2 linked regions of the Caenorhabditis elegans genome follow. The protein of the gene in region 1 interacts with the protein of each later gene in a pairwise test. Each region holds a gene or a part of one and is shown on either strand. Other genes may lie near its edges.

What was found. The genes of interacting proteins can lie anywhere in the genome.
Region 2: the proteins of npl-4.1 (region 1) and scrm-5 interact in a two-hybrid assay, tested with the Caenorhabditis elegans proteins (one large-scale study listed by BioGRID).

What each region holds. Positions count from the first base shown.
Region 1 is NC_003280.10:5,629,199-5,633,958, reverse strand, and holds npl-4.1 (Nuclear protein localization protein 4 homolog 1), read right to left. Parts: upstream 2,609-4,760; 5' UTR 2,601-2,608; coding exon 2,457-2,600; intron 2,406-2,456; coding exon 2,040-2,405; intron 1,978-2,039; coding exon 1,786-1,977; intron 1,739-1,785; coding exon 1,006-1,738; intron 916-1,005; coding exon 761-915; 3' UTR 675-760; downstream 1-674. Other genes in the region: F59E12.6 (ubiquitinyl hydrolase 1), read left to right, coding at 4,515-4,610, 4,752-4,760. UniProt on the Caenorhabditis elegans protein: In association with ufd-1 and ATPase cdc-48.1 and/or cdc-48.2, involved in the cytoplasmic elimination of misfolded proteins exported from the ER.
Region 2 is NC_003282.8:4,160,550-4,165,502, reverse strand, and holds scrm-5 (Phospholipid scramblase), read right to left. Parts: upstream 3,083-4,953; 5' UTR 3,040-3,082; intron 2,985-3,039; 5' UTR 2,982-2,984; coding exon 2,757-2,981; intron 2,709-2,756; coding exon 2,349-2,708; intron 1,464-2,348; coding exon 1,277-1,463; intron 1,220-1,276; coding exon 1,080-1,219; 3' UTR 1,023-1,079; downstream 1-1,022. Other genes in the region: scrm-8 (Phospholipid scramblase), read right to left, coding at 98-457, 506-724.

The DNA of each region.
Region 1 (4,760 bases):
TAGCGCCGGAATGGTTAAAAACCACTCCTATAGGCATATATGCAAAAGTGAACAAACATCATAATAACACGTTTCAAAAACATTTTATCGACAGTAAAAACATTTATTGAGAGACATTTACCGAGTTTTTACCATTTTTGAAAAAAAAACTATAGCACTATCGTTTGTTCGAATTCTTATATTGTTCGAATACAAATATCGTTATTTTTCGGATAATTTGGATTTACTAATTCACTTATTTAAGAAAAATCCATTTTCAGAATAAAAAGCTGCAAAACTTCGATCGAAACTGAAATCACACTGCAAACTGCTAAGCGGAATTCGGAGTCTCGTTTGGCCACGCCCACTCTGTTCTTTGCACTTTTAATGAATTCAACTTTCTAGAAAAAATTGTTCAGATTTGTCTTTTGAAATTTTGTTTTTAAAAATAAAGAATACAAAACTTCAAAGTTTGAAACAAAATCATACTTTCTGATCTCTGGTGAGTTGGCCAGACGTCACAATTTTGAATGCGCACTTCGAACGAGACTGGATAATTCAAAAAGATTGAAAATGGAAAATGGATAGCTTTCTACGAATGGAAAACATTTCATAAATTGTATTTAACGTTTTTTCAATTTCTCCTGAAGCTTTGCTTTTGTTTTAGAATTAATTCTTAATTTGTCTTCATGAAAAATATGGAGAAAAGAATTCATTTGTGGGTGACTTTACAGAGCATACCAGTAGAAATACACTAGTAGAAAAGCAGAAAAATGAATTTTTAATCGGCAGCTGGCAATCCACACATCGAGCAATCCTGTCTTGCTGCTTCATTTTGGAATGTACAGTGTCCACAGTTCCACACAGCTCCTCCTGATCCACCACTGCTTGATCCGGAGAAAGGATCACCATTTGGAATGACAGGAATATCTGAAACTATGAGAAATCGATTAAAATATTCTTTGTAAAATCGGAGAAGCAATCATTTTCAAAATTGTTGTTAATCACACTAAAATAATAGCTTACCGTCATTGCCGCTTCCTCCATTAGCATGCGCTAAAGCCATCAACTGATGCCAATCTTCACATTCCTGAGCCCATTCCATTGCAGTTCCTCTGTCCTGAGCTTTAACTGCATCACACAATCGTTTCATCCATTCATCAGAAATCTGCACTTGGTCATTGGTTACTAAATAGAGCAAAAAGTGGAAGTTTGTAGCCTGTTCCAAAAATTGATTTTTAGAGAATTCGGATGAATATTGAATCAAATTTGCACCTCCTTGAAGTTGTCCAATTGCTTGTCGATTTTCAACATTAAATTTGGCACTCTTCGATTTATTAGATGTGCCAACGTGGAACGTGTAGTGAGGCTCTTTTGGCATTCCAGCAGGAACATCCACCAGCAAATATTCAACTGGAAGTGGTCGTCCGTTTTTCATAACCTCGGCTCCGTATTCATTTTTCATCGAAAATTGAACATCAGTTATATAATGTTCTTCGGATAATGGTGTCTCTCGAACATAAGCCAATTCAGGAGTGTACAGTGTTGGACAGAGAATATCAGCTTCAACCATGGCCGCACATTGATTTGAAACTTGATATCCGTGGAAATTAACATGCATCGATTCATCACCAGATGCAACAACGGTCACAAATTTGGATCCATAGTGACGATCCATCGAGTACTCTGTGATGTTTGGATGTTGATTTTGAAGCATTGCTGCGGTGATGCATTCCTCAGCTGATAGGAAGAAGGAATCCTGAAAAATTATTCGTTTTTTGGGCTTCTCTTCGAGATTGTTCTCACCTTGTGCCGTGTATAATGTACAGTTCCTTCAGCACTATTAGCTGTCCAACAATCTGTGAAGATCCATCCAACACGTTGCAAGCCAAGCATTTCCAGCAAATTGTCAATAGTTTTTTGATTTTTATCCTCCAAAAACTCAATTCCATCTTCACGGCAGTGTTGTGGAGGTTCATAAATTGCAGCCACTGTAGCCTGAAAGTATGAGCAATGAAATAACTCGTCTCAAGAAATGAGTGATGAAGTACTGAACTTACCTTGATTCCTAGTGGAACTTCAAGGTGAGGCTGATACTGTCCAATTAAAAATCCAACACGCTGATGGCCCGATAGTCTCCAATAATCCAAAAACTGATTTACAAGCTCTTGATTTTCAATTTGAATGTTATCAACATGACGAAACTTTTGACGATTCAATGTTACAACCTGTGGTTTGCATTTAGTGCAAATTCCTTTCGGGAACGGCTTGTGAGCATCACAGTTGGGTTTTAATGAACATCGAAAGTTTTCCAGCGGTTTTTTGAGAGTCGTGCCCTTCCCCTGGGATCCAAGGAGCTTGCGAACATGTGCATGGAAGCTCATATGCTTGATATCTTTTTCTTTCAAATATTCTTCATCGAATGGCTGTAAATATTGATATTAGTTTCTATGAAAACAACAGAAAATATCACTTACATCAACAGGCAAACAATTAGTGCACTTTTGACGTACAGGATGCCGACAGTTGGGCCCTTTTGGACGCTGAATTTGACCATCTTGCGTGCTTAAAAAAACATCAACGTCGTTGACACGCTCAGTTTGAGGGACTTCAAGTACCATATCTGAAATAAAATAGATTTTTAAATGCAGGAAGATATGCCTTCTAGGTAGTGAATTGAAGATATATAATTTTGAGATTTTGCAAAAATAATGCAGCGGAAAGGGTATCAAATTAGTTTCCATACATATTCAAACATTAAACAGCAAATGAAATAAAACATTTTGTTTTTAGAATAAAAAATGTCATCAAAACTGCCTAGACAACATGAATGACGAGCAAATGCGTACACAAAAAACCGTGCGGCACTCTTGCGAAATCCCATGCAACGCTTGCAATTTTCTTTTTTCCATCACATTTTCCAATTCCTTTCATCAAATTTTACAATTAAAAAAATGTTTTCTCTTAATTTTAGCGTACCTTTTCGAATTTAGTTTGACATTTAAATAATATCAATATAAAAACCTTCTTTCAGTAATGTCTCGACGCGTGGAATTCGATTTATCCACTGAAGATCACTCTGATCGTCGTCGCACCAACACCTTTTCTTGTAAGTTCACAGAATGCTATTTTTCAGAATTGATGAATAAGAGTAAAATGAGTTGAAAAATGTTAAAATTTGAAACAGTTCGAAAAGACTGAAGACTCGGTCCTTTTTTGATTAACCGATTTATTTTAATTCGGCAAACAGACATTTGGAGAATTTGGTCTGAAATAATTTTGCATAAAAACTGCAGATTAACATTCCATGAGCAAAATACATAAAATTCAGAAAAACCAAATTTTCCAAATACTGTTACAGTGAAGAATCAATGCCAATTCTCAGAACTCCCTCATTGTATATGAAAATGACTACTTTTGTCATTTTCAGTGTTTTTCGGTGTCGAATATCCTCAAATCTCAGATTAAATGAATCACAGCTTTATTCATTTGAAAGAAATAATAAATGAAAAGGTGTTCATAAGAGTTCATAAGAAGTTAATCATTTAAAAGCCCGAGAGAGAAGTTGAGTATCAGAGGATCAATGATCGTGCATTGTGAAATCTTTTCAAAAGAAAAATTGATAATCAATCAATAGAGTAATTCTATAAACATATTTATGGTAGTTATTTAGGTGCTTGTTAACAACACAAACTTATCTCATTTCTTAATTTTTAACAGCTTCAGCCGATGAGGATGGAGTTCCAAATGAGGTCGCCGACTACCTGGTCTACTTTTCCCGCATGGTTGACGAACAAAATGTGCCGGAAATTTTGACTCTCTACGATCAAGCTTTTCCAGATCTCACCGAGAGGTAATATTTAATAATCTCAAATTGTTTTCTATTTATCTTTTAATTTCAGATTCTTCCGTGATCGCATGTGGCCCGATGAGAATGTTGTCGAAAGAATTATTATACAGTATTGAAATAGTTAAAATCAGTTCCTAAAGTGCTAAAATATCACAGTAATAGTTTCCAAAACTGTTCAAAATCACTTTAAAAGTACACACCTTGAACTAATTGGCAATTTACCAAATTTTGGCAAAATGTCAAAACTTTGGCAGAATGCCAAAACTTAAAACATAATTTTTCCACGGTATGGAAATAGTTGAAATCGGTTTCTCAAGTGCTCAAATATTATAGTAAAAGTTTCCAAAACTGCTCGAAATCACTTTGAAAATATACATTTTCGATGATTTGGCAATTTACCAAATTTTGGCAAAATGCCAAAACTTCGACAATTTGCCACAGTCTCTCGAGATTCTGAGCAACCACGACCATTTACGCAATTATATATTCGTTCTATGGAAAAATTATTTTTAAATTCTTGTGATTATCACCGTCACCTCTTATTCGGCCTTCACGTAATCTCAGAAGAACTCACAATATTTTTAATTTTTATGGATTTTATTATACACGTCTCTACAACTCACATTTCTTCTCATTTCTCACTTTAGAAGAGAACTAGCCTAGTGCTAATTTTGTTTAATAGAAGATGTGCTCACGAGACGATGTAATTATTGGACAAGGTGATATTGAAGAGAAGAATTCAATGCGATCAATTCACGAGTATGGCTCACTGGAGATAGAAGTAGAGTTTAAGAAAATTAATTTACAAATGTAATAGCCACGGTCTCTCTCAATTTTATCTATTTCAATTGAGAGAGTCTATCACATTATTTGATTTAGTTTTTTTGAAATTAAGAGACCGTTTTTCTATATTATTTTTTAGAACCTGTTC
Region 2 (4,953 bases), on another chromosome or scaffold:
TGTTTCCTATATTCTCATGCCTCTATAAATGTTAGGGTACTGTAGTTTAATGTAGTACTGTAGTTATTACTGGCGGTGGTTATCGTCCAAAACTCACGTTAGGATTACAGCACTCCCTCTTCATCATCCCAATCTGCTGATCGAGGAACTGGGTGCTCAGGAAATCATCGCATGAGCAGCATGGTCTTCCTCGAAAGCAAGTCATCACCTGGGCTCCGTGCGTATCCATGATCTGCATTCCGAAGTTACGATTGTTTCCGTGGTACTGACGAGCAAAGACGTTTGATCTTTCCATACAATAAAGCAGCGGACGACAGTACATGTCGTGGACCACATAGCGATTTGGAGTCTCGAATCCGGTGAAGATCTCGAGCGGTTCGATGCATTGGACAACCATCAGAGAGTTGGTATGGGCGATTGCGCTGAGGATGTTGTTGCTGGCAAGCTGAACGAAGCCCTGAAAAGTCAGAATTTAGAGCGGTCACCATTAGCTAGAATGACTTACAGTCATCTGAACCGGCATCGCTGCCACCTGATTCGGAATTTTCATTGGCGTCGATCTCGCCGCTGGCAGCTTCGTTCCAGCATTGTTTCTTCTACCGAACCCCGCTCCCTCGGCACGTGGCTCATCCTTCTTTGAATCCTGCTCAACCTCCTCAGGTGACTTCACCGCGGACGTTAAGCTAATTGCTTTCAATGGTAGCTGTCCCGGTTGAATATTCATTTTCTGAAAAAATTATGCGGGTTTTGAGGGAAAACCAAGAGAAATAAGAAAACTCACATAGAAAAGTGTTGGTCACAAGTCGGAAATAAATTAATTTTGAAAATCTGATCTGATTGTACTATGTGGAACTTCACGTCAGATTTAAATTTCTGTTGGAAAAAAATAGGAAATTATCTGCGGAATTGTTGTCTGCTGCACGTGTATTAGTTATCGCAATTTTAACAAGTCATTTGTGCCCAGAAAACGCAATCTTTTGCTGAGAAATTATCAGCTAGTAGGTATAGTAAGAAGAAGCCAGAAAAAACTAGTTTATTCTAGTTTGCAAGTGAATTTGTGAACAGGATCCTTTATAAGTTTAGAAGCTGCTATGCATTCCGCTATGCATTCCGCCGTTACGATGTTGATCCTGGTTACGATCCTCGAAGTAGGTGAAGTCGATCAGGAAAACCGAGGTGACAAGCAGAAGCTTCAAGATTGGCGGCATGTCCATTGGGACTGAAATATTCCAAAATTAAGATAGAAAAGATCAGAAGCTTAGAATAAAATGCTTACAATGAACAATATAGGTGTCCGCATCGGTGAACATCTCCTGCATGAATCCCGGGTAGAGGCGGACAATTTCTCCGACGAGCACACCATTGAAGGTCATCACTGGGAACTTCTGGGTGCCACCACAGCCTGCACAACCTGGAGATTGGATGAGCAGGGGCTGGTTGCAGCCGGATCCGACGAGCTCGAACTGAAAGAAAAGGTTAATAGGATGTGTCTCAAGGAGGATGGGAGATTCAGGTGAAGAGCTAATAAAGCTTCAGCCTATAGGAACGATTGCTCTGATCAGGGGTGTGCGGCAAGTTTGGCGAATTTGGCGAATTTGCCGCGTTAAAAATTCAGTAGTTTTGGTGCTTCAAAAAACATCAAATTTTTCGGAGTTAGTTGAGCTCGGCAAATTTGCCGAGTTTGCCCTTGTACAAGGTGTCATGCTAGTCCCGATGTTGCCGTTCAGCGGTATATAGATATAGATCTATAGATCTACGTATAGTGCAATTGTATAGTGCAATTTATATCTGTAACTTGGTACATTGGTGACGTACGGTCCTTCCGCCTTGCTCTGTGTTTCTCTCTTTTAGTGTGTCAATGCCTAGCCGCTGGGCGGCAGAGCAAAGGCGTGAAACCTGTACGTCTATGTACCAAGTAATAGGCTTTCTAGATAAACATCTTAATACTGAAAGACATTTGGACAGTCTAGTAACCTATAGTCTATATCTATGTCAGTACAAACTTGGCACATTGCAACCTACAGTCCTTCCGCTTTGCTCTCTTTTGTGTATCAATGTCTTGCGGCTGGGCGGCAGAGCAAAGCGGAAAGACTCTAGGTTGCTATGTGCCAAGTTACAGATATATTATAGATCGGACTATAGATAGGGCATCAGGGGTGTGCGGCAAATTTGCCGTTTGCCGAGCACTGCAAGTTTCAAAATTTGCCGCACAGCCCTGGCTCTAAGCTCGATCAAGATTGATGCAAACTCAGATCAGCGAAAAGATCTCTTTTGAGAAAAATGTGATTTTTCCAAAGAATGCTTCAGGGCTCTGGATTACTGTAGTTTTACTTGATACTAGCACTCACATTAGGATTGCAGCACTCCTTCTTCATCATCCCAATCTGCTGATCGAGGAACTGGGTGCTCAGAAAATCATCGGTCGAGCAGCATGGTCTTCCTCTGAAGCACGTCATCACCTGAGCTCCGTGGGTATCCATGATCTGCATTCCGAAGTTACGATCGTTTCCTTCGTACTGACGAGCGAAGATGTTCGATCTTTCCATACAATAAAGCAGCGGGCGGCAGTACATGTCATGGACCACGTAGCGATTCGGAGTTTCGAATCCGGTGAAGATCTCGAGGGGTTTGATGCATTGGACAACCATCACAGAGTTGGTATGGGCAATGGCGCTGAGAATGTTGTTGGCGACAAGTTGGACGAAGCCCTGAAAAGTCAAAAGTTAAAACGATCACTATTAGCTAGAATGACTTACAGTCATCTGAACCGGCATCGCTGCTACCTGGTTCGGAATGACCATTGGCGTAGATCTTGCCTCTGGGAGTCTCTTTCCACCACCTCCACCTCCTCCGAATCCTGCAGCCTTGGCACGTGGCTCTCCTTTCTTCGAATCCTGCTCCGGCTCAACCTCCTCAGGTGACTTGGCCGCAGACGTCAAGCTAAGCGATCTCAATGGTTGCTGTCCCGGTTGTTTGTTCATTTTCTGAAAAAATTTTGCGGGTTTTTTGGGGAACACTGACAGATATAAGAAAACTCACATATCAGATCGTTGTTCACTAGTCGAAAATGAATGAATTTCAATCGAAGGGAGTATTGATTTTATTTGTTGTTTCGAAAATTGAATACGTGGGGAAAAGGGATAGGGCAGAAAGGGCAGAAAGTTCATATTCACGTTTGAACTTATCTAATTTATTTAAAAATTTATTTATTTACCCCGTGGCTCCAAATTTTCTAGAAACTATGAACAAAAACATCCCGCAGCTCTTCCAAAACTTTCTCGAATTCACCGATCTGAATTTTCGGTACTGAACAAAAACTAATAGATTTTCAATGGTTAAGCAGCCAAACTATATATTCGTTTTGTGGATCTTCAGTGAAACACTGAAGATGACTTTGCAGCATGAAACCTGAAACCAGTGGCTCCTGGCAACCAGCACAATAAATTTGGAGCTCGAAATCAGTACTTGAACAAGCAGTGATAACTTGTCAAGCGTTCGCTGAGTCTCAAAGTTATCAACTAGAAGAATGCACATCGACATGTAAATTCTTCCATACAGGATAGTGTGGCAGAATTTTAATTTCTGCAAAATTACTTTGAAACAAATTTTTATCAATCTCCCAGACTAAAAAACTTTTGAAGTGTTATCTGTTGAAATGTGTAAGCTATTGGAATGTTCAAATGTTTATTCAAATGAATTGCAAAACTTGGCATTTAGTCAGCATATGGTGGCCAGTAGTCAATATCGCTGAAAAAAGTTATTTTTCTGATGAACTAGCACTAACATTATCTTACATCGCAGCGTATTGTCTAATTTGGAGTTTGATTGGCGTATTGTCAGAATATGAGTACTCAAGTTTCATGTTGTAGATAGCAGCATCGAGGTTTCCATAGCCTGCTCGAATTGTGCTATTTTTCTGAAATAGCTAACGTATATTCCCTGTTAGTGAGGCATAGGATTACTGGAGCCTGCTCTCGAAATTTATTGTCTTATCAAACAGTTACTGAAGTTATAAAACGGCCACAGTCCCCAGCTTGGGTGTGGCTTAAATTACCGCCCAGTAGGATCACCACCAGGTATTACAAAAACAAACTTCGACCAGAAAACAAAAAAATTTTTGGTCGAACTTTGGACCAAAAAACAAGAAACAAAAAATCGAAATTTTCAAAAAAACCAACAAAAAAAAACTAAAAAAAACAAAAAACAAAAAAAATTTCACGGTTTGATATCAAACGGGACAAAACAGGAATTTTTCATGAAATATTAAAAATTGAACACACGAACGATTGAACAAGGTTTTTTGTTCTCATTTGTTTAATTTTTTGCTGAATCAGTGTTGCAATTTATTTTTTGGTTTTTTTGGTCTCAAAAAACCAAAAAAATCAGTGCACAACGCTTGAAAAACGGATCGACCTTTAATCCTTTAATCATTTAGTCTCTAATCGTGAGGTTATTACTTTCAAAGGTAGTAACCTCAAAAAACGGTATCGTATGAGTACATGTAGGAAACGTTACCTCATTGGATGGGGATCCTGGATATCCATAAAAACCACCATTGGTAGATGATGAAGCATTGTACCAAGAAAGGTAAAATGATTGGAATGTATCAATGGGACCTCAATTTGTAATATTAACAAGTTATGATAATCATATCAAAATTTGTACCATGGTTCTGTACAGTTACTGCAAAGTCGACCCCGGCAAAGAATGTCCCGTTGGGTTTAGTGTGGAACAGTGAAGGCAGTACAATGGAGCCTTTTCCGGACACTACAGGATTCACCGAATAAATGGCTACAGGCCAAAATAGCCCAAAAAAACGAATTTGAGACTGAAATTAATTAAGAGTGAGGAGCGACCTCTGAAATCTTACATCGTTGAATTGATCATCATTTCGAAAATCGGCTAGTCCATTTGTTTTAAATGAGAGGTCATAGAGGGTGAGTGGTTGGGATC